Linked DNA regions of Arabidopsis thaliana. The protein of the gene in region 1 interacts with the protein of each later gene in a pairwise test. Each region holds a gene or a part of one and is shown on either strand. Other genes may lie near its edges.

Region 1 (7,911 bases):
AATATGGAATAAATAATAGTATATTGAATTAGCTAATAGTTCGAGTAGGTTATTCTTCAGAATTTTTAAAAAGAGTATGTGAGTAGCTCCACTATCAAATTTTTGAGGTTTGTATAATTATAACATTATAATTTATAAAATTGCTATAGCACAAAAATTGTTTAAAGATTGTGTGAGTGATACATTGTTGAAAATATTGTTAAGAATGTATTGCTAAAGATATTTATAGCAATTCACGGGCTTGGTATTTGGAGCTCAATAATTATCTCATCAAATCCAGTTTTAGAAACTAAGTGTCTGAATGCATTATTTCCTTATTTGTACATACAAAATGTTATACCATCCTCTATTCATTGGTCTATGTTAATGACATAATCATCACATGAAACAATTTGGATGCATTTGAAAATATTTTACAAAATCTAGCTATCAGTTTTCACTTAAAGACTTGGGTGAGTAAATATTGAAGAATAACTTACAAATTGATTCTATCAATCACAAATCGCAAACCTGAATGCTTTCGGTTGAACAAATCTCGTGCAGTTACTAGTGTTCCTCCTCTACCAAAATGACCAAGATGATATAGCATCCTACGATATGAACTAAGAAACCCAGTCTTGGTGGGATATCCGAAATCAACAAGATAGTACTTCCCACTAGGCGGATGTGGGAAAAAGGTTCATTCCTCGCACAATGATTCAAAACTTTTGTATCATGTGCTCTACAAGATATACTGACATATGCATATATGAATTTCATATCGAAGTTACATATAGCAAGAACATTCATTATATGTTCTATCTTTCTATATTTATATTTTTCTACAGATTGACTTAGACGGCGAACCGGGACATAAGTTCCATCAAGTGCTCCAACACAATCTCTAAAAACAGGCCAATATCAATCATCATTCTTCTAAACAGGGTTTACTCTCGTAAATTCACCTTCTTGTGGCTTTAGTGTATCCACTACAAACTTTAAAAGAGCACTCAAAACATCATCAATCTTTTTTTTTTTTACCGTATTCAATGACCGTTGATATCTTGTAACTATATCTCAAACAGTTTTATCCTGACCAACCACCTCGAAAAGTATTAGTGATTTCTACCTATATAGTGAAGAAGACCGTAAGTATTAGTTCCAAACATTTAGACCCATTATATAGAAACAGACATAGAATTTGGAAATTTTGAATAAACCGATCAAGCTGAGAGTAACTAAGAGAACACAAATAAATAAGAAACTCAAAATATTTAAGAGATTTCAGTCAGTGAATAACGAAAGTACCTCGGAGTAGAGATTCAACGTTGTATTAGAAGTAACCAACGACGGGAGATCTAGTTGAGCTCAAGTCACCGGATAATATTTCGCAAGATTGCGGCGGCGGAGAGAGATTGGTTTCAAAGAGTTTGAGATCGATGAGTGTAAGAGAGAAATGATGAAAAAGAAGTAGAAGAAATAGAGTTAGGTTTGTTTGTAGTTTCTCAAACATAATAAGGGTATAATTGTCATTTATCATATATAATACAACTTTTAAGCGTTGACCGCAGCATTATGCCGCACTTACTTGCATCTGCCGCTGTTGCAGCAACCTAGATAATCAAACGAACATCTTATTAAAAAAAAACAGAAGCTGAAAGCCCAAGCTTATTTAAAGATGGGCCAATAGGGGCCTGCATAAAGTTCCAATTTTATTTAGAAAATATCTATTTAACATCATTTATGAATAAAGTGTCCTCCGATGCTATTTGGGTTTGGTTAAAGATGGATTTTGGAGGTTTTCCAAATGATGTCAGATTTTGAAGATGAACAATGAAATAAATATATCTAAAGCTTATACATCTAGGTCTCTTACCCAACGGCGATGAAATAAAGAATACATGTACTAAAACGACGCATGCAAAATAATACCTGAAATTTTCTTTCTACGTTGGAACTCATTGCAAAAGATGAGGAATATTGCATAGCCATGGATTGGATAGAGCCATAAAGAATCGGTACACATTGCTTTTCATATTTTAATATCGTTAAGGCGTAATGTAATAAGTATTAGAAATGGATTTTTAAAAGTATTTAGATAGTTCGGGTTTAAATTTTATTTTATTGCTGATTGGACTTTGTTTTACAATTATAGAGAAATAATTTTGTGTTAAATTATAGTATTATACGACATTCACACAATTACATTTACATTAACATGTACCACGTCTATTTTATAATATTGCTCCAAAACGAAAGAGTGGTCTTCACGACGAGCGAGGTTTAAAATTTGTAGTCGTGCATTGCAAAAAGCTGCGAAAACCGTGTGAACTCTCAACCAAACCAAATATGATATGAAGAAATTGGTTCTTGTCCATTCGGTGGTTAGTGTGCATGCATGTCGGTGAATTTTATATGTTTTCCATTTACGACCTTTTCTCTTTATATCATATAGATTTTTAGGGGAAAAAAAAATCATATAGATTTTTAAAAAATCATGTTCCCAATTAAGACATAATGTTTAGTAGCCAAATTGAGAACCAACCTTTTTTCTGTTTATTAAATAATTTAAGTGGATGGATTTTACACATATATTTTAATGTCTTACATAAATAAAATATCATGTTATTTTTTTTGATAATATCATGTTTTATTGATAAAATCCATACATACTTGATACTTGCAAAAAATATCATGCACAAATTTATCTCTATAAATGGTTATCTACCTTTTTTTTTTTTTTTTTTTTGAACACAATTTACCTAATAATCTTAATAAATATAAGAGAAATGTAACGCATACTTTTGTTGGACATTGTTTTTGGTCGAGTCTGATTGGTTTTTTGTTCAGATCTATCGGATTTATGTATTTAAGATCTAATAAACAAATTATAAAAAATTTGATTCGATTTGGTTATCGATTTTATTAATAATGTTAATATAATCCGACTTACTTTGGTTAGAAAAATTAATTCAAAAGTAACAACAAAAAAAAATTGGATAACAAAACCATCTAAAATCCTGCTAATTAATTCACATCTAATAACCGAATCCGAACCTAAATGACCAAACCATTTGTGTAAAAATCTCAAGCCTAGTCCCTATATTTCAATAGATTTTTTTCTTTTTTTTTTGGTCAAGATCAATAGATTTTTTTCATCAATTCAATTTATTGCAAATTTGCAATAATAGTTGGTAAATACTATAAATGTAAATGGTCACGGGATAACAAAAGAGCAATAATAATATAATAATTGCATAAGACGAGTCAACATGACCAAGAAACATTGAAGGGTTCGTAACTTCGTATCATCTTCCTCCTCCTCCTTTGATAAACACCAAAAAAAGGCAGAGACTTTCGAAATCAAGAACAATGGAGAAACCAAACCCTAGAAGACCCTCAAACAGTGTTCTTCCATACGAAACACCAAGATTAAGAGATCACTATCTCCTCGGCAAAAAGCTAGGCCAAGGCCAATTTGGAACAACCTATCTCTGTACAGAGAAATCATCATCAGCTAATTACGCTTGCAAATCAATCCCAAAACGTAAGCTTGTATGTCGTGAAGACTACGAAGATGTATGGCGTGAGATTCAGATCATGCATCATCTCTCTGAGCATCCTAATGTTGTTAGAATCAAGGGTACTTATGAAGACTCTGTTTTTGTTCACATTGTTATGGAAGTTTGTGAAGGTGGTGAGCTTTTTGATCGGATTGTTTCTAAAGGGTGTTTTAGTGAACGTGAAGCTGCTAAGTTGATTAAGACTATTCTTGGTGTTGTTGAGGCTTGTCATTCTCTTGGTGTTATGCATAGAGATCTTAAGCCTGAGAATTTCTTGTTTGATAGTCCCAGTGATGATGCTAAGCTTAAAGCTACAGACTTTGGTTTGTCTGTCTTCTACAAGCCAGGTTCGTTGTTGATTCTTCTCTTTTGATTGGAATCTTATGGTTTTTGTCTTTGTTGGTTGGTTCAAGGAAATGTTTTGATTTGGTTTCTTGATTCGGATTTGCTGCTTGAGCATTGTTAGGGAAAGATTGAATTTTGTTATATCTGGTTTTGACATTTAGTTGATATATATGGATGTGTTGATTGTGCAAGGTTTTGTTATATATGTAACATATGCTTATGGTTATGAAGCGATCTTATCAGATTTTATTCGATTCATTGTCTAGATTATGTTGAGAAATGTCTTGTTTGGTGTTGAAAATCGGTTTCATGATATGTTATCTGTAGAATCATTTGTTGAATGGTCATTTCCAATTTGCTGCTTGAGCATTGTTAGAGAACCAATAATTTTCTGTGGCTAGATCTTTCTGAATCTTTTCTTGCAAGATTTACATAGTTTTGTTGTGTTACTTATGCTTATGTAATGATGCTATCAGAGCTACATTGTGTCCGACTAATTTCAGTGCTTAACAAAATTTTCAATTGTGTGGGTTTGCATCTTCAGGGCAGTATCTGTATGATGTAGTTGGAAGTCCGTATTATGTTGCACCTGAGGTTCTGAAGAAATGTTATGGACCAGAGATAGACGTGTGGAGCGCCGGTGTTATCTTGTACATCTTACTAAGTGGGGTTCCTCCTTTTTGGGCAGGTAAGTTTGTGAAAGCTAGTACCGTTGTTACTACTGAATCAAGTATATTGCTTATGTGATTTAAGCATCCATGAGTAATTTGTTTGCAGAAACCGAGTCAGGAATCTTTAGGCAGATATTGCAAGGGAAGATAGATTTTAAATCTGATCCGTGGCCTACTATCTCAGAAGGTGCTAAAGATTTGATTTACAAAATGCTCGATAGGAGCCCCAAGAAACGTATTTCTGCACATGAAGCATTGTGTAAGTTGTTACTTATGATTGTTTTCCTCTCTGCTACATGTATTTTGTTGTTCATTTCTGTAAGATATAAGAATTGAGTTTTCCTCTGATGATATTATTAGGTCACCCTTGGATTGTTGATGAACATGCTGCACCAGACAAGCCTCTCGACCCAGCAGTCTTGTCGCGACTTAAGCAGTTCTCGCAAATGAATAAAATCAAGAAAATGGCCTTACGAGTAAGAAAGTTGTAGCCCTTTAGTCTCCACTCTCATTGCTTATTTTCAAGAACTGATTTCCCTGTTAGGAAGATCGACTAAGATAACACATTTTAAGAACTATTTTCAGGAAATGAATAAACTTAAGTAAATGGCCTTATAAGTTGGAAAGCTATAGTTCTTTAAACTCTCAATGCCATTGCTTATATTCAAGAACTGATTTCCCGGTTTAGGTAATCGCGGAGAGACTCTCGGAGGAAGAGATTGGTGGTCTGAAGGAATTGTTCAAAATGATAGATACAGACAACAGTGGAACAATCACCTTTGAAGAGCTTAAAGCAGGTCTAAAGAGAGTTGGATCTGAATTGATGGAATCAGAAATCAAGTCTCTTATGGATGCGGTAATTATACCAAAACAAAAACTCTCTTTTAGAATATTGATTTCTCCGTTCTTCTAGGAATCACAAAGCTTAAATGGTGTTTTGCAGGCGGATATAGACAACAGTGGGACAATAGACTACGGTGAATTCCTAGCAGCGACATTACATATAAACAAGATGGAGAGAGAAGAGAACTTGGTGGTTGCGTTTTCATACTTTGATAAAGATGGTAGCGGTTATATCACCATTGACGAGCTTCAACAAGCCTGCACAGAGTTTGGTCTCTGTGACACTCCTCTTGATGACATGATCAAAGAGATTGATCTTGATAATGTAAGAAGCCTTCATGATCTGTTTCCTTTGTCTTGTTTCTTAGTGAGTTTGGTTTAAAACTGATGATGAAAATATGTGGTTTTGTTAGGACGGGAAGATTGATTTCTCAGAGTTTACTGCTATGATGAAGAAAGGAGATGGTGTTGGGAGGAGCAGAACTATGAGGAACAACTTGAACTTCAATATAGCTGAAGCTTTTGGAGTTGAGGACACAAGCAGCACTGCTAAATCTGATGATTCACCAAAGTAATTATAATCATCTATATACTTGGAATTGAGAAATGAGAACTCACAAAAGAAAAACTGAATCTTTCCTTTTTGTTTTCGTTTCCACTTTTGTAGATGAGCAACTTTCTCAATTTTGTTATAAGCATGGATAATTTTGCTTCATATTTTCTGCGTATAGAACCATTATATGATCAGAATCACCCATATTTGGTCAAAGCAATGTCTTCAAGCATTTACATAATCATGTTTGTTATACATAAGCCAATAGGCTGCAGAGTCAGATCTCTGAATCAAGTATTCAATATACAAAGCCAATCATGATTCAGTAAACTAGCTACACAAACACTTACTACTACAAGGGGGTAAGAGAAGCTCTCAAATCGAAGACAATAAACAAATCAAAGCCAGAGTTAGCGATTTTAAGCTCCGCGATGTTGCAGAAACAATCTTCTTCTTTTATCTTGAGCTCATAAACACCTTTGAAATGCTGCCATGCGACTGAAAGGTGCTGCTCATCAATATCTATATAAATGATTATACTCTTCAGTCTTCGACTCTTCATTCATATACTCTCTTTCTCTTTAGAAGGGCAGGGAATATGGAGATGGATCCAATGAGGAACAGCACTGACAAGGTCTTGAAATCATACAAATCCTTTACTGATCTGAGATCTCCAAGAGCCAAACCAGCCTGTGTAAATGAAAGTAAATGTTAGCCTCTTAAACACGAAAGAACAGCGGAATGAGATTGAACAATAGACTCACTCTAACTGTGATGTACGAAGCTGGCATAAGACCGACTAGAGTCGCCAAAAAGAAGACGTGAAAGGGTATGTCAACGATTGGAGAAGACAAATTGATAAAGAGGTTTGGAAGTGTTGGTGTTATCCTTAAGAACAGCATGTAGTTTAGCAGCCTATCTCTTCTTTTCGCAATCTGACCCATTGAAGATTTCAAGACATTAATGCTTTCAGAACAAGAGACATTACTAAATACTAATCAAACACAAAAGAACTTACCTCAGCTTGGAAAAACCTCAACTTTTCAGGCCATAACCAGTTAACCAATGGCCTACCGACCAATTTCGATAAGAAGAAGCAAGAACATGCTCCAGCAGTTGCATTAAGGACAACAAGAACAAAACCTCTAACCACACCGAAAAGAGCTCCAGCAAGCAATGACATAAAGATCGTTCCAGGTATCATAAATGTCTGCATAAAGATATACGTCGAACAGTAACCTAAAATGAACCGTGCTTGGTACTCACTTGCATAAGACCCAAGATTCTCTCTGCACATATTCATCATATCAATATATCATCATCATATAGTAAGTCCAAGCATATCACATTCAACTGAAAACGCAACTTTCAAATCAAGTCTTAATGCTAATGCATGTACTTATTTTGAAATTCAAGTAACACTACTAAAAGCTAAACACTTTCAGTTTCTACATTTGCATAAATTCAATTCTCAATCTATAATACCAAACAACAAGCTAATCACATACAAACAAACTGAGAATGCTGATTCTAGAATCATGTCTTTAAGCTAATTTTCTGCTCTCTAAAGTCTAAACCAATTTATCGGAATCTTCGAAAGATTCAAACTTTCAATATGGGTTTTTGAATTAGAATTCAGATTCAACAGATCACTATTAAAAAGCTAAACACTTTCAATTCCTACATTAGCTTAAACTCAATTTTTTCAATCAATAGAACAAACGAACAAGCTTATCACAAACAGAAAATTTTCCATCAATTTTCCGAAAGATTTGAACTTTCAATTTGGGTTTAAGATTTAAGAGATAACTACTCAAAGCTAAACACTTTCAATTGTAAAAGAAGAAGCTTTTAATCTCACTTGAGCAATCGAAGATCGGAGATAGTTCTAGGAACTTTGAGCTTGCCGTATTCAGCGGCAGGCATGGTGAGGTAAATACAAAAGAGTCCGGTGGTG
Region 2 (6,633 bases), on another chromosome or scaffold:
TGATACATTCTTCTGCTTAGAAAGCATTTCCTTCATGAAATTTCCGTCATTGGAAAACTTATTCATGTGAGCTGCAGCTTCAGATATCAGCTTCGAGTCTTCGTTTCTATGAGTTTGGCTCTTTCTCTTTCCCCAGGATAAAGAAGGGTCGGTTTTGGGGGCTCTCAATACACGATGGTTCAACGACTCACCTTTCAAATACTCCCGATTATTACCCTTCAAATAAAATACGTCACGAAGTTAGAATATAAGCTGTCATAATTCCCAGTATGAAACAGTACTAACCAGTATGAAACAGTACATTAGCGGTTCATGTACCTTCTCAGAAATTCTTTCTTTTGGTTTTTTTTCTGAATCATTCTTTTCATTTTCCCCTCTTCTTCTATTATTTATGGCATTCAAATGGGCACGAGATGGAGCTGCTCTTTGAGATGCGACAGACTCAACAAGGTTACCAAGAGAACCATATCGCTCGCCAGCAACCTGCATAACCCTCAAAATGATAAGGCAATACTCAAAGACCAACGAGACTATATTAATCGTAAATCAATACAAAACTTACCTCCTCAAGCCTTAGCCCTTCTCTCGCAGCCTGTTCTTTCGCACGCTTGAGTGCTTTCATTCTCCAACTTGCACCCCCATCTCCAACAACCGAAGAAGGTAAAAGCTGGTCTTTACCATGTTTTTTCTCAGATTCTTCCTCTGGATAACCGGTTCCATTTTCTTTCAAATAAGGATTTAGTTCCCTTGGGTTAACTTTAGTTACCTGGCAGAGAAAATAAAAAGCATTAACTTAACTATCTAATACGGACTTGTTAGAAAGATACTCTCAAATAAAAATTCCCTCACCTCAGGTGCACTTTCTTCAAATTTATCCTCTACATCTGAAGCAGGGTTTGGATCAGCCTTTCGGGTTGGCGGCAGCATCCAATCGAGACCCATTTTCTTTCTAACAATATCCCCTTCAAGCAAGTCATCATCAACGGTCTCGCCATCTCCACTCTTGGCAATCTTCTTCCCATCTCTCTTACTTCCTTCTCCCCTACGCTCCTTTCTATTTACGTCCTTGTTCTTTCTTCTTCTATCCTTCCCACCTTTAGATTTCTCTCTTTCCCCCTCCCAACTATCATCATGCACCTAATAGCAAAGAAAAATAACATCAAACTCAATCCAAGATGAATAAACACAAAAGAAAATTCAGGATCATATGAAACTAGAAACTTTACCTCATCACGAGGTATGATCTTTATCCCAGAAAACATATTAACAATATCTGTCCAAGGTCCTGTTGGAGAAATAATCAACAGACTTCAAAGGCAGAGCGAAGCAAACTTCAAACCTACACAAAACAGAAAACAAATTAGACCATGTCATAGCCATGATACTACTGTAAACAGAACAAGATCCAGAGATCAACAAAATCAGCAATACCAAAAGCAAGATGCAAGCACATTATTTGACTAAGCAAACCTCAGCCACAATATTTACAAATTACAATCCTCTGATCAGTAAGATCATACTTTACTAGTGCTAAGCTTGTAGGTCACTAGGTAGATGTTATTAAAGCTTAAAGCAACGAGATTGAAAGTTTGAAACTAAATTTGATCCTATAGATTCTAAACCCTACTGATTGAGAGATCTTAAGAAAACCCATAAACAAACTTCAATCGAAATGCAACACGACGACCAATATACTGTACTTCGATTGGAACCAAATTGGAGAATTTAAGAAACTAGAGAATTGAAACAGAGAGCAATCTTAAGCAAATATGTCTCCTTTATCTTCGTTAATGAAGAATAAAGAACTAATTCTCAGGAAACTTACCGGAAAAAGAAGAAGAAGAAGACAGCTACTCCGGCGATGGATGATGAACTCTGTTCGGAAGAAGGAAACGATTTGCTCTGTTCGATTGATAAATTTAGGGCTCCAGAAATAAATAACATAAGAAATACAAACTCAGAGAAAGCAACGAACCCGGACTATAAACCGGACAAACACACAACAAAACCGGGAATATGAATCCAATAACCGGTCCATAATTTCTGCAAAACCGATAATACCAAAGAAAACAACGAATTGCGACTATAAACCGGAAGAGAAAAACGACCGGGATTTGGAAATTCGAGAACCGGTCCATCATTTCTGAAAGTCGATAATACCAGACAAATACCAACCGGGATTTGGAATTTGTTAACCGGTCCATCAGAATCGATGATACGAGATAAAATTGAAGAACCGGGACTGATAACCGGAACAAATCAACAAACCGGGAACTGGAATGTCGAGAACCGGTCTCACCATTTCTGAGAAATCGATAATAGTCCTCATTCACAACGCACTTTCTCTTCCTCTCTCCTCCTACCAAGAAATCATCGTCTTCTTCTTCATCTATTCAGGATCGATCCGGCTTGAGATTTATTACAAATTCGTCCTTCTATTTGCTCCAAAAGTTCGACAATTTCGTAGGGGCAAAGATGGACGCTGATTCCAAGAGATTTCTAGCTACGCTTCGATCCCGATCTGGTGAGAAACTACAGTACCTTTATGTCAACTTTGATTTTGAGCTTTGTAAGTTTGGTAATTTTGATTTTTGAGCTCTCAAGAAGGGAATATTTGAATAAAGTTTCAAACTTTTTTTATCACATGAGTTTGATTCAAATATCGTGTTTTCTTGACTTTATGCGAAATTATTTGGTTAGTTATGTAAGTGAAAGAACAGTTTGACTCATATTTATGTTTCTGGCTATATAGGTTTTTGAGCTATGTAAGAAAAATTCTTAAACTTGTTGTGTTTAGGAGCTGTAATAGATTTGCTTCTGAAATAAAGACAACAAAAAAACTGGATGTTCCTATCTAGGTTAACATGATTCAGCAGGTTGTCTCATGGAGTCTAGTTTTGTTTTTCTTTCATATTGTTGTTACTTGGCTAGATGAAATTTTGTGCTTTTACCAGTATCATACTTGCAAATATATATGATCTTTTATGTTTGAAAATTGTAGAAATGTTAATGGGCTTTGAAGAAATAGATGGAGATGATGATTTCCAGGAGGAGTTTGCTTGCCCGTTCTGTGCAGAATCGTATGATATCATCGGGTTGTGCTGTCACATAGATGATGAACATACTTTAGAGTCGAAGAACGCGGTATTGCTCTCTACTGGTCTTTACTATCAAATCAACTTGGAATCAAAAATTATATAGCAAATGTGTACATTGGATTTTTCAGGTATGCCCTGTTTGTTCTCTTAAAGTGGGAGTTGATATCGTAGCACACAAACGCTTCACCATGGGAGTTTATTTAAGATATCCTTTTTTCAATTTCTACGTTTATAACTTACAGATATTCTTAGTTTCTCACCATGGAATCACATTCCTCTGTTGAATTCCTTAATGAGTTTTACTTGCAGCGAAAGAGAAAGTCACGAAAAAGCGGTACCAATTCGACACTTTCACTTCTTCGGAAAGAACTAAGAGAAGGAGATCTACAAAGGTTGTTAGGATTTACTTCTCGTAATGGTTCTGTTGCGTCAAGTGTAACTCCTGATCCTCTCCTGTCGTCATTTATCTCACCTACACGATCACAGAGTTCTCCTGCGCCACGCCAAACCAAAAACGTATCCGAGGATAAACAGATAGAGCGGTATAGATTCTATATTAGCTTTCTTTATTAGATTATAGAGTTTTTTGAAGGTTTAGTTTTTGATTAGCATTGAACTTGTTCAGCAAGAGACAAGTGTTCATCTCACCGGTCTCGTTAAAAGATCGGGAAGAGAGGAGGCACAAATCAGAGTTTGTTCAGAGGCTCTTGTCATCAGCCATTTTCGATGAAGTCTAATGCACATACAAAGATTGAGAACATGGAGGAACTAATTCGAATCAGACTTGAGAGAATCTGGTATATATGAAGCTCTGTTAGTTGTGTAAAAGAACCTACACAGACACATTTTCATCGGAATCTTGATTCAACTGTGTGTAGGTTTCGAGAAAAACAATGGTTGGGATGAGAAGAAGACGGAGAAGAGCGAGATGCAGCTATGTTATCAATATCTATATCTATCTATGTATTGTGTCTGTTTGGTGCTACTAAATACATTGCGTAGAAATGTGTTTTCTTAAGTTTATTAAGCAATTGAAAAGTAAGATATAGGAAGAAGAATAAGTCCTCTTGTCTGTAGCATAAACCCTATTGGTGTTCTTGTGTTGTGTGTCTTATGAAATGAAAAATGTTCACTCTTGTAAGCTAGTAAAAGAGTGATAAAAGAGTGGTTGAGAAACCACGTACGAAGTCATCTGTTTAAGAATAATTCAACAATATTGTTACTTTTGGTGTGTGTGTGTTTTTCTCTACTCAATTCTCGCTCGTCGTTCACTTAAACGCTCTTGATCTCTACCACTCAATCTCACTTCTCTCTTCATTCACATCTCTATAAAGATATGTTTCTCTCATTTAAACTCTCTTGATATCTCTCACTCAATATCAATTCTCTCAATGATTTTAAATTTCATTGTTAGATTTCTATTTAGATTAGTATATTTAGGAGCCGTTCTCAATTTTTAGAATTAGAAATTTAAATTGAAATTTCTAGATTCAGATTGTGAAATTTTGGATATGTTATTTTTTTCATTTAGATATTTAGTTTCAGATGAAGATTGGAATTTTCTTTATATATTTTTTTAAAGTTTTTATTTAGAAATTGAATGGTAATTTTATAATTTGTTATATTATGAATTTAGAGTATAAATTAATTAATCAAATTTTAAGCTTAAGACATTCTTATTATTTTGTAAGTTGTTACTTTTAATTAAGTTTCTTTAAATTTGACTCACAAATCTTTATTTATGTTTGTACCTCTATTTTCACATTGTTCTCAATCATTTTACGGATTAAGAGAATTCCAATATGAAAATTCATTGATTCGAATAACAAAAAAAAGTAGATTACATGTTCCATAATACATACAGATTTCATATTTTGGATAATAATACAATAAATTTTGTAACTAAAACTACAATATATTTAGAGACTTAGTAATTATTTCAACCCGCACATAGTACCAATAAACTACCTAATAGTTTATTATTTATAAATTACATTATATTTTCATGTACGTAATCTTTTACTATAATCATATGCAAGGATCCAATGCCATTAGTTTAGTTTGACTATTTGGAAGCGTGCCTGCAACTCGAATGTTCATTAATTTACTAACATTTGCATTCGGAAGTTAAATGTGTAAATTATTCATCATATTAATTGAAATTTATACAATTAGAATTAGTTGAAACTACTTTTGTTATATTAATTATTATGCTATCTCTCCATGCGAAGAGACAAAGTCGGTCAATGGACGGAAAAAAAAGAAGTCCGTCAATGTCAATGACGAGCATATGCGAACCATCCAAATTCCAAAACGATAAAAAAACTTATTGATACATTTTGATTTTTGTCAATTTCATAGATAGTACGTGCCCATGTGACGTCGGCGATACGTATTACCTATATAAACTCTACGTATGATACAATAAAAACCAAAAACGTACCACAAAACAAAACAAAACAAAATATGTCCGCTAATCACACGACTCTCCATAGCTCCGGGGATGAGGAGCCAAATCACGAGTTGTATTCTGCAGCGGTGCACAAGCTCGTGGTGTTAATGAACGCCGGTGTTTTTGGATTTCTCCAGCTCAGCGACCTGTCGGCTATCGGAACCAATGCAGTTGTCTCTACATCTGTTATGTTCGAGACTCATCGAGCCACTTTCCTTTGTTACTGGGTTCTCATATTGATCTACGCCTTTCTTCGTATCTACGAGATCAAACTTCGCATCGTATCGTTTCGCATGCTCGTGGGACATATAAGCCATCTCTTTGGTGCTCTCGCAGCTCTCTTGCTCATATCTGTTGTGTCTTCCATCTTTTCTCTTATCGTTGTTCCCCTATGGCTTGCGTGGCTCTTCGCCGTATTGTACATAGCTTTCCGAGATGTCATAAATCTACCAGCAAATTCATTGGGTGGTGTTGACCCACCAAACCAACTAGTGTCGGTCTAGGGTCACTATCTCATGTTGCTTTCTGACTACATTTGTGTTTGTTGTTTATTCATGTCCCTATGACGATTGTGAGCATCCTATTTGTTGGTGTTTGTTATATAAATAAAACAGAAAAGAGAGTGATTTATTGTACATCAGTTCCTCCTTAGTCTAGAGGGTATAAGAAAATTTTCAAAACCGCATTCTTCATACCAAACTGAATAAACTAACAATGACACAATTTCTTCTCACGTGAGTTGCACGAATTTGCCTTTTCAGTTTGTTTGTCTTTCCCGTGTATATATCGTTCTTTTGTTAGATTTTCCATTGACCAAAACTACACTTAAATAATATATTGGAGATGAGTCCAAGGAGAATCAAGAGGAAGTGGTGTACCTTCGTTGGTGGGATCTTTCAGAACAAGAAAAATAAAATTAGTATCCTACATAATTAAGCACCATCAGTTGAGAAGCCTCAGGATTAAGTATACTCTCAACAAACAATTGGGCAAGGATAACAATTTTCCTAAACTATTCGTGTCTAACCATAATCAGAACAAATGTCAAACTTTTTGGTACTAACTTAAGTAATGTAGCCTCAT
Region 3 (6,981 bases), on another chromosome or scaffold:
GAAGGGATGAATCTAGACCGTAGAATCAAGCTCAGCCTGCTTCGATTCTGATGGCTTTGCATTTGAGTTTTTCTTTCGAATTCTCTCAACAGATCTTTTTTCTCATCTTATAATGAATTTCTATCGGATTTATTCTTTTTGGCAGTACTTGATTATTATTATTATTATTATTTTATTCATAAGTTAAAAAAAAATATGAACCGTTGGTTTCGTAAATATCTAATTTCAGTGAAATAAAGACAATGTAATTTCTTCATAATTGCAATGAAATAAAGAAAAATTAGTCTATTGACCAATGGTAGATTTTGGTATTTTTGTTTTGGCCATTCATGGAAGTTTACAACGATCATAACGTTTTAAATCGTACTTGTATTTTTTGTAGATTTATGAGAAAAGGTAAGTACAATAAAGAGTAATTGCAGGGAAGAAGAGGGATATTAATGATTGGAGAAGGAGAACCGCGTATCAGGCTGGGCTATGTCGGTTTCTCATGACACGGTCTTGTTGTATCACACCGATTATATATTATCGTTTTACAGCAATGTTTATATCATGCCTACAAAATATAGGGATTCAAATTGCTTAACCACGTTGTATTCTTCTTCTTCTTCTTGTCCAACTTTTTCTACGAAATTATAGCAAATCAAATTCATGCTATTTATTGAACGCAAATGTTTAATTTTCAGACAAATCAGATTCTTACTTTTGCTGTTCAAACCCCAAAATTCAATGAAGAAATTTTATAATATTCATCAGATACTGAGCGGATTTTAAGCAAAAAACCAAGAGAAGTGATAGATACTGAGCGAGTTTGATATGAAGATTATCTTGGCCGGAGGTTGATTATCGTCTTTCCAACGAAGCAACTGCAACACCATTATATGGATATTTGGTGTCTCGTCATCAGAGTCGTGCCAATGAATTTTGATGCTATAAACAAAAAAATATAGTTTAATATTTTAATAAATAATGTAAACATAACAAAAAAATTATTTATTAAAATATACACATAACAAAGAAGACGGAAAGCTCCTCTCTCACAAGCCAGGCTATCTCGCCACCTGCTATACCTTTGAATATTTCAAAGGTCTTTTTTGAGAAGTATTTCAAAGGTCCGTCTTCTTGACACTACCGGCGACAAGAGACATTTTTACAACGAAAGAGTTCGATAATAGAAAGGTTAGTAAAAAAATAAAAATATTCTTTGTCGTAATTATTTCAAAGGTCATTTTTGAGAAGTCAATAAAACTATGTTTTGTTTTGTTAACAACATGCATTATACCGTTTGATTGATAACATAATAACGACACTAGCACATTTTACTAGTTTACACATTATAATCAACCTAATCGTTTTTGGTCATATTTTTGTTCTAAATTATTTATGTTTTGCTTAAAATTTGCTTAATTTATTATTAAACTTTAAATATTAATTATTTTTTTTGTTATGTTTATAATATTTATTAAAATATTAAATCATATTTTCGCGTATGGTATCAAATTTTTTTGGCACGTTCTGTTTGGATGTTATGTCACAAAAATTAAAAATTTAGTACTTACAAAAAAAACAAAACATGGTTGAAAAAATCTTTCAATCAATTACTAAAAAAAAAAGTAAATGAAGAAAGCAATACCTCATGCAGCAGCTTGTGATATGATCCAAAAACAAATCGGGACAGCTAAAGGTCTTGGCTGGTACAAGCAAAAACTCGGTCTCCTTGAGCCCATCCAGCTTCTTTCAGGTACTACAACATATTAAAAAGATTGCACATGTCAAAATGACTATTACCATATCCAAATTTCGATTGTTTCCTACTTTCCTTTTATCTTCAACAGTTGTTTCCTTTTTCTTATTTGAGAACGTTCGAGAAATCTGGACCGTCTATTTTCATCATATTGCAACTGTGAGATCTGATGGTGATTATCTAATCTAAACGGTAAGTTTGTTAGATTATGTGGGACCGGGACGATCTATTTCTTAAACCTCTGTTACAAACAAACACTCATGTCTATTAGTATTAGGAAATAAGAGATGGATATGATGATGATTCCGAACCAATTCTCAATAAACTGTTTATAATGGAACAGAAGCAGCAGTGATTGATGATCTAACAGACATTGACATCAGGCTACCAATGCTAGTCTTCCTGTGGGAGATAGAAGCGGCCTTGGTTATGCCGAGTTTTCTGTTGATCTGTGTTTATGTAATCACCCGAGGATGCAAACAATTAATCCCATCAGCTAAAAGACTTGTTTGATTCAAAACAGACTTTAGCAGATCATTTGTTTTTCTTATCTACAGAACATAATATATTCTTTTTTTGGTGATATTATGATTGGGAAACATCCATTTCATTTAACCAGAAAGCATGGCAATCTTTTCTTTGAACAAATCTCCATAAATTACAGACAAAGATAAAGCCGGAAACAAGAAAATGTTGCAGATAAAATCTAACAAAAGAAAGAACAATCGAAAAACTCTTCTTCTCCTTGTAATTTGCTCACAACAAAACCTCTTCTTCAGAGCCTCTTAAAGTGGCTTTCCACTTGTCTTGATATCATTTCTGATTGCTCCTTGAATCATCTTAACGATCAAATACTGCAAAGTAGAAGAAAGGATTTCACTTGTTTACCAAATTCGAACAAGACAATAAATCAAACTGTGTCTCTTTCTTACCTGAGCGCCTATGATAAGAGGGATGAGTTTCTTTCCTTTATCATCAGAGTAAGATCCATCTACCATCTTCTTGTCTACATGAATTGCTTTCCTCTGGTTTGTTGCTACATCAGTTATCGCCTTAACCAAGTTCGGGATCCACGCTTCACCATTTGGAAGAGCCTGAACCGAGAGCAGGTAAGCAACTTTTAACAGTCAGTCTCTCTCCAAGTCGGATCAAATCAGAGATTCGAAAACACAAACCTTTTCGTCCTTATCGTTCTTGCTGCATCTTCCGCTGTTCTCTGCATAGACTACCGCGATTGCAGAATCCTACAAGCCAGTAAAGAATGAAACTGATTCTTGCTACAATGAACCAAACATACATTGGTATAACAATTTTCGGAGACAGGTATATGTATAAATAACCATACCTCAAACTCTTGTTTTCGCATCTTAGAACCAGCCCGGATAGTTTTGAGGAGAGAATCTGATCTCTTGGAGGAAAAAGTTTCGTAGGAAAGTTCATCGGGAGGGGAAAATTGAGCATGAGTCAGAACAAGCAAGGTTTTGCACCATATCTCTTTTCCAAAGGTTTGGGTGATTGCTATAACAACTTGCTTATCTAGCTCATCGACTCTATACACATCCAAACGATCAACATAGAGCAAGACATCTATTGTTCTGTTCACAAGAAACCTGTCCAAAATCCGAGAAACACAACAACTATCGTAAAACTTCCACACACACTCCAATATACAGCTTCAGCGTAAACCAGATACTCATAATTCACAATTTCAACAGAAACCCACAAGTAAACATGTTAACCACATATATACTTAGCTTAATTAATTCAAAAACGAATGAGATAATCCTATATGCAACAATCAACGAAGAGATATTCCAAAAGAGTAGCTACTGACCCTTTGATTAACTCGAGAGCTTGGTGATTGACATATCCAGCTTCCACAAGTCCAGGGGTGTCAATAATGTTGATAGTGAACCCTCCCATTGTTCTTGAAACCATCACTGGTCTCAATCCTTCAGCCTACAAAATCAACAAAACAGAGCCATCAAATATCTTGAAATGACTACTCTTTCTTAATCCAAATTAAAAAAATCAAGCTTAGGGAAACTGAATTACGTACTTGGAAAGGACTGACACGGACGACTTGTTCGCCGATAAGAGAATTGACAGTGGATGATTTTCCGACACCGCCTTTACCCAGAACAAGAACTGTCATTGAGTTCATATCCTGCAATTACAAAAACCTCCCATCATTATCTCCTAATCACAACGGAGAATCCGAGAAACCGACTTAAGCACCAAAGAAACAGGAACAACAACAACAAAACACACCTTTTGCTTCAATTTTCCGAAGAATTCAATCAGCTTTTCCTGGGTAGCTGCTGGAAATTGCTGAAACCCAACCCATTCACGAACGAGAGACCCCATCACTCCTAAACCCTTCAGCAAAAAAATTCTTTTGGTAAATAATCGCTGAGTGATGACGATGATGATAATTAATTTCGAAAGCGATAACGTTTTGGGAGATTTGGAGGAGCTTACCGTTGTGTGAGGAGCGTTTGAGGTTTTTGGAAGAAGCTCTCTCGATGTGTTCCGCAGAGAAAAGCTAAAGAATGTGACCTTATCGGTAATTTGTTTAATAGTTCAAATTATTTTCACTTTTACTCCTCTATTTCTTTAGTGTTTCTTTTTAGTGCCTTCAAATTTTGAAAACTAACAAACTCAACCCCAAACCAAATCCAGTTACCAAGTTGCAGCATTACACTTCATATTTTCATGGAAGACTACATTAGGTGGAACATTGAATTAGCATAGCGTCACGGGAGCTCAAGCGATTCTCTGAACCTTTCTTCGCTTGTAAGTCAAGGAAAACAAATGGTCACTATTGGCTTCTCGAGCATGATTGTCTTCGCTCAGGACCCCCAGCGGTTTTCTCAGAGCCTTGGCTTCCCTCTGAAAGTTATTACTAGACGAAATCCTCTTGCTCTCTGTTGTTTCAGAGCCTCTGTCAACAGTCCTAGGCTTAAAACCAGGAGACTTCAGGTGGTACCGGACATATTCTTCTTGCTTTAGAGGTATATTCTGTTCTGTGATGGAGTAATTTGAAACACGGAGAGCACTGGGAACAGTGTGTGTTGGATCATGAAACACCGGTTCTGTACCTTGGATTGATCTTTGTGTAGTTTCCAAATAGGTTAAGAAAGGGTCTGGGATAGAACAGCCAAGAGTTCCGTAGGGTGGTTTCTCAAATGTCGTACCTAAGTATGGAGACGCTGCAAATCTAGTACTCTTTGAACCGGTTTCATGGATTTGCAGGAGATTGTTTCCTGGAGCTACATAGGGTTTCCTGAGGATGGCAGAAGAAGATTTAGGGACTAATTTGAGAACACCCTTTGGCAAAGTCTGATGATGATGGCCAGCAGAAACTAAGCTGGAACCTTGATACCGGAATACTCCTTCCTTGGTTATCTTTATCTTGAGACTGTTCTTGGAGCTGCCACTGCGAGGGAAGGTTAAACTTTTCGATCTATTTCTTTCCACGGGTTTCACTACATTGGGAGTTTTGAATCTACATGTAGCACTATCCATTTCCTTAGATGGAACTCTATTGAGGTCCAGTAGCTTGAGATTACCGGTTTGAGTTCGTCCTGACCAAATGAGGAGCCTTGAGTAATTGCCCAATTTATTTCCATACTGAACCCACACCCTTTGCATTTCGGTAAATGTCCTGATCAGCTTTTCATGATAGAACTTTAAAGAGTAGTAATACTTTCTCCTCTTGACAAACATAACACCTTCTTTGAAACAAGCTACCTTTGGAGTAAACAATCCACCTAGCAAATTCTTGTAAAACTTATCCTCTGGATTCCCAAAATATAAATTGGCACCATCAAGAAGTTCCTGCATCGTCAAACTGAAAGTCTGTGGATCCATATCTGGCAGAAAACATGAGAGGAAGAATCTTTCTTCTTCAGTCAGAAGTGAGTTCCAAGTCTCAACAGACAATATTCCCGTTAAATCTGGTAGATCGTAGAGCTCGTATGGTATGTTACAGAGCTGACCTTCAACCAAAGCTAGCTCACAGTTTACTTGCGCAATGTCGTAATCATCAGAGTCATCATCTTCAGAGTCTAGCCCAACTGTTTGATTCTTATTCATCTGTAGTTAACCACTTACTACCCTTAAAACACAAGTACTTCAAATCTCCAACCACAAACTCAGTAGAAAGGAACACAAGCAGGAGATACCTAGATAGAAAATGTTAAAGACTCATCATCAGCAATTCACATTACAAGAATTCTACTACAATACAATGGACAGCGAGAAGCTGAGTATGTTACTAATCAGAAATCAAACGAACATAAATAGCATTTTACTCACTGATTTCAGCAACAACAACACTAAAGGCTATATAAAACACGAAATATACATTGTGAGATCAATGAAGCACTCAAAAAGAAGAAGATACACAACACCAGAAAATCTCCCAGATCGGATCAGCTACAAAGCTTAAACGTAATCGATCGCGAACTCAATCAATAACCAAAATCAAAAGCTCCAACAAGGCAAATAACTAGAGAGCGAAAACCCTTGGATTTGACAACAAAAATGTGCAGACAATTTGAATAAAAAACAAGTATCATACAAATCTCAGCACAAATCAGCTCCAATGAGTTTCAAAAACCTACCGGAACTAATAAAAAAAAAGAATCTCGAGATATTCAGAGAAATCGATCGGAAAGCGTAAAAGACGAGGAGCTTACCGGCTCTAAAGACAGGTGAAATTAGCAGATTAGGGTCGAAGAAACCATATCCCTTTGGCTACAGATACGAACTTCATCGCCTTCAAAGATTCTCTGCTTCCTTTCTAGAGATTTCTATGGCTTTTCGATCGATGCGACAGTAGAGTAGAGACTAGAGAGACTAATTACTGTTACACTTGTATTTTGATTTCTTTAATTAAAGCCGCCTAAAGTAACTAATGCCTTGATTACTTTAATTAATAATCATTTTTAAATTGTGATTTATAATCAAGTTAGACATTACTTCACAAATAGTTTGGGCCTGGAAACGTATAGGCCCATGTAAACTTTAATAAAAGAATCACCTTGCAGGTAAGTATAATATCCTGATATTATTATTTACTTGATAGAATGGGCCTATAATAAAAGAAATCACCATTAAAGAATTATAGGCCCATGATATCAAGTAAATATCAAGAAATGATGATTAATGATCAAGTTAGACATCATTACTTGATATTTTGGTAAGTAGGATCAATCAACGGTCAGGATCCT

The links. The genes of interacting proteins can lie anywhere in the genome.
Region 2: the proteins of CPK4 (region 1) and DI19 interact in binary tests that used the Arabidopsis thaliana proteins (3 or more experiments, as listed by UniProt).
Region 3: the proteins of CPK4 (region 1) and TOC33 interact in binary tests that used the Arabidopsis thaliana proteins (3 or more experiments, as listed by UniProt).

The regions. Positions count from the first base shown.
Region 1 is NC_003075.7:6,046,209-6,054,119, forward strand, and holds CPK4 (calcium-dependent protein kinase 4), read left to right. Parts: upstream 1-3,232; 5' UTR 3,233-3,351; coding exon 3,352-3,889; intron 3,890-4,431; coding exon 4,432-4,575; intron 4,576-4,664; coding exon 4,665-4,817; intron 4,818-4,918; coding exon 4,919-5,034; intron 5,035-5,246; coding exon 5,247-5,414; intron 5,415-5,501; coding exon 5,502-5,726; intron 5,727-5,814; coding exon 5,815-5,976; 3' UTR 5,977-6,172; downstream 6,173-7,911. Other genes in the region: AT4G09580 (SNARE associated Golgi protein family), read right to left, coding at 6,513-6,644, 6,719-6,889, 6,973-7,243, 7,816-7,911. UniProt on the Arabidopsis thaliana protein: May play a role in signal transduction pathways that involve calcium as a second messenger. Functions as a regulator of the calcium-mediated abscisic acid (ABA) signaling pathway. Phosphorylates ABA-responsive transcription factors ABF1 and ABF4 in vitro.
Region 2 is NC_003070.9:21,070,568-21,077,200, reverse strand, and holds DI19 (drought-induced 19), read left to right. Parts: upstream 1-2,323; 5' UTR 2,324-2,475; coding exon of another isoform or gene 2,476-2,524; intron 2,525-2,752; 5' UTR 2,753-2,931; coding exon 2,932-3,141; coding exon of another isoform or gene 3,142-3,144; intron 3,145-3,226; coding exon 3,227-3,292; intron 3,293-3,407; coding exon 3,408-3,640; intron 3,641-3,723; coding exon 3,724-3,835; 3' UTR 3,836-3,895; intron 3,896-3,976; 3' UTR 3,977-4,346; downstream 4,347-6,633. Other genes in the region: AT1G56290 (CwfJ-like family protein), read right to left, coding at 1-216, 319-483, 563-766, 850-1,137, 1,227-1,262; AT1G56270 (RPB1a), read left to right, coding at 5,565-6,053.
Region 3 is NC_003070.9:446,136-453,116, forward strand, and holds TOC33 (translocon at the outer envelope membrane of chloroplasts 33), read right to left. Parts: upstream 4,292-6,981; 5' UTR 4,226-4,291; intron 4,124-4,225; 5' UTR 4,112-4,123; coding exon 4,016-4,111; intron 3,912-4,015; coding exon 3,804-3,911; intron 3,704-3,803; coding exon 3,579-3,703; intron 3,355-3,578; coding exon 3,090-3,354; intron 2,989-3,089; coding exon 2,920-2,988; intron 2,839-2,919; coding exon 2,677-2,838; intron 2,599-2,676; coding exon 2,530-2,598; 3' UTR 2,288-2,529; downstream 1-2,287. Other genes in the region: AT1G02270 (Calcium-binding endonuclease/exonuclease/phosphatase family), read right to left, coding at 1-62; AT1G02290 (uncharacterized protein), read right to left, coding at 4,511-5,842. UniProt on the Arabidopsis thaliana protein: GTPase involved in protein precursor import into chloroplasts. Seems to recognize chloroplast-destined precursor proteins and regulate their presentation to the translocation channel through GTP hydrolysis. Binds GTP, GDP, XTP, but not ATP.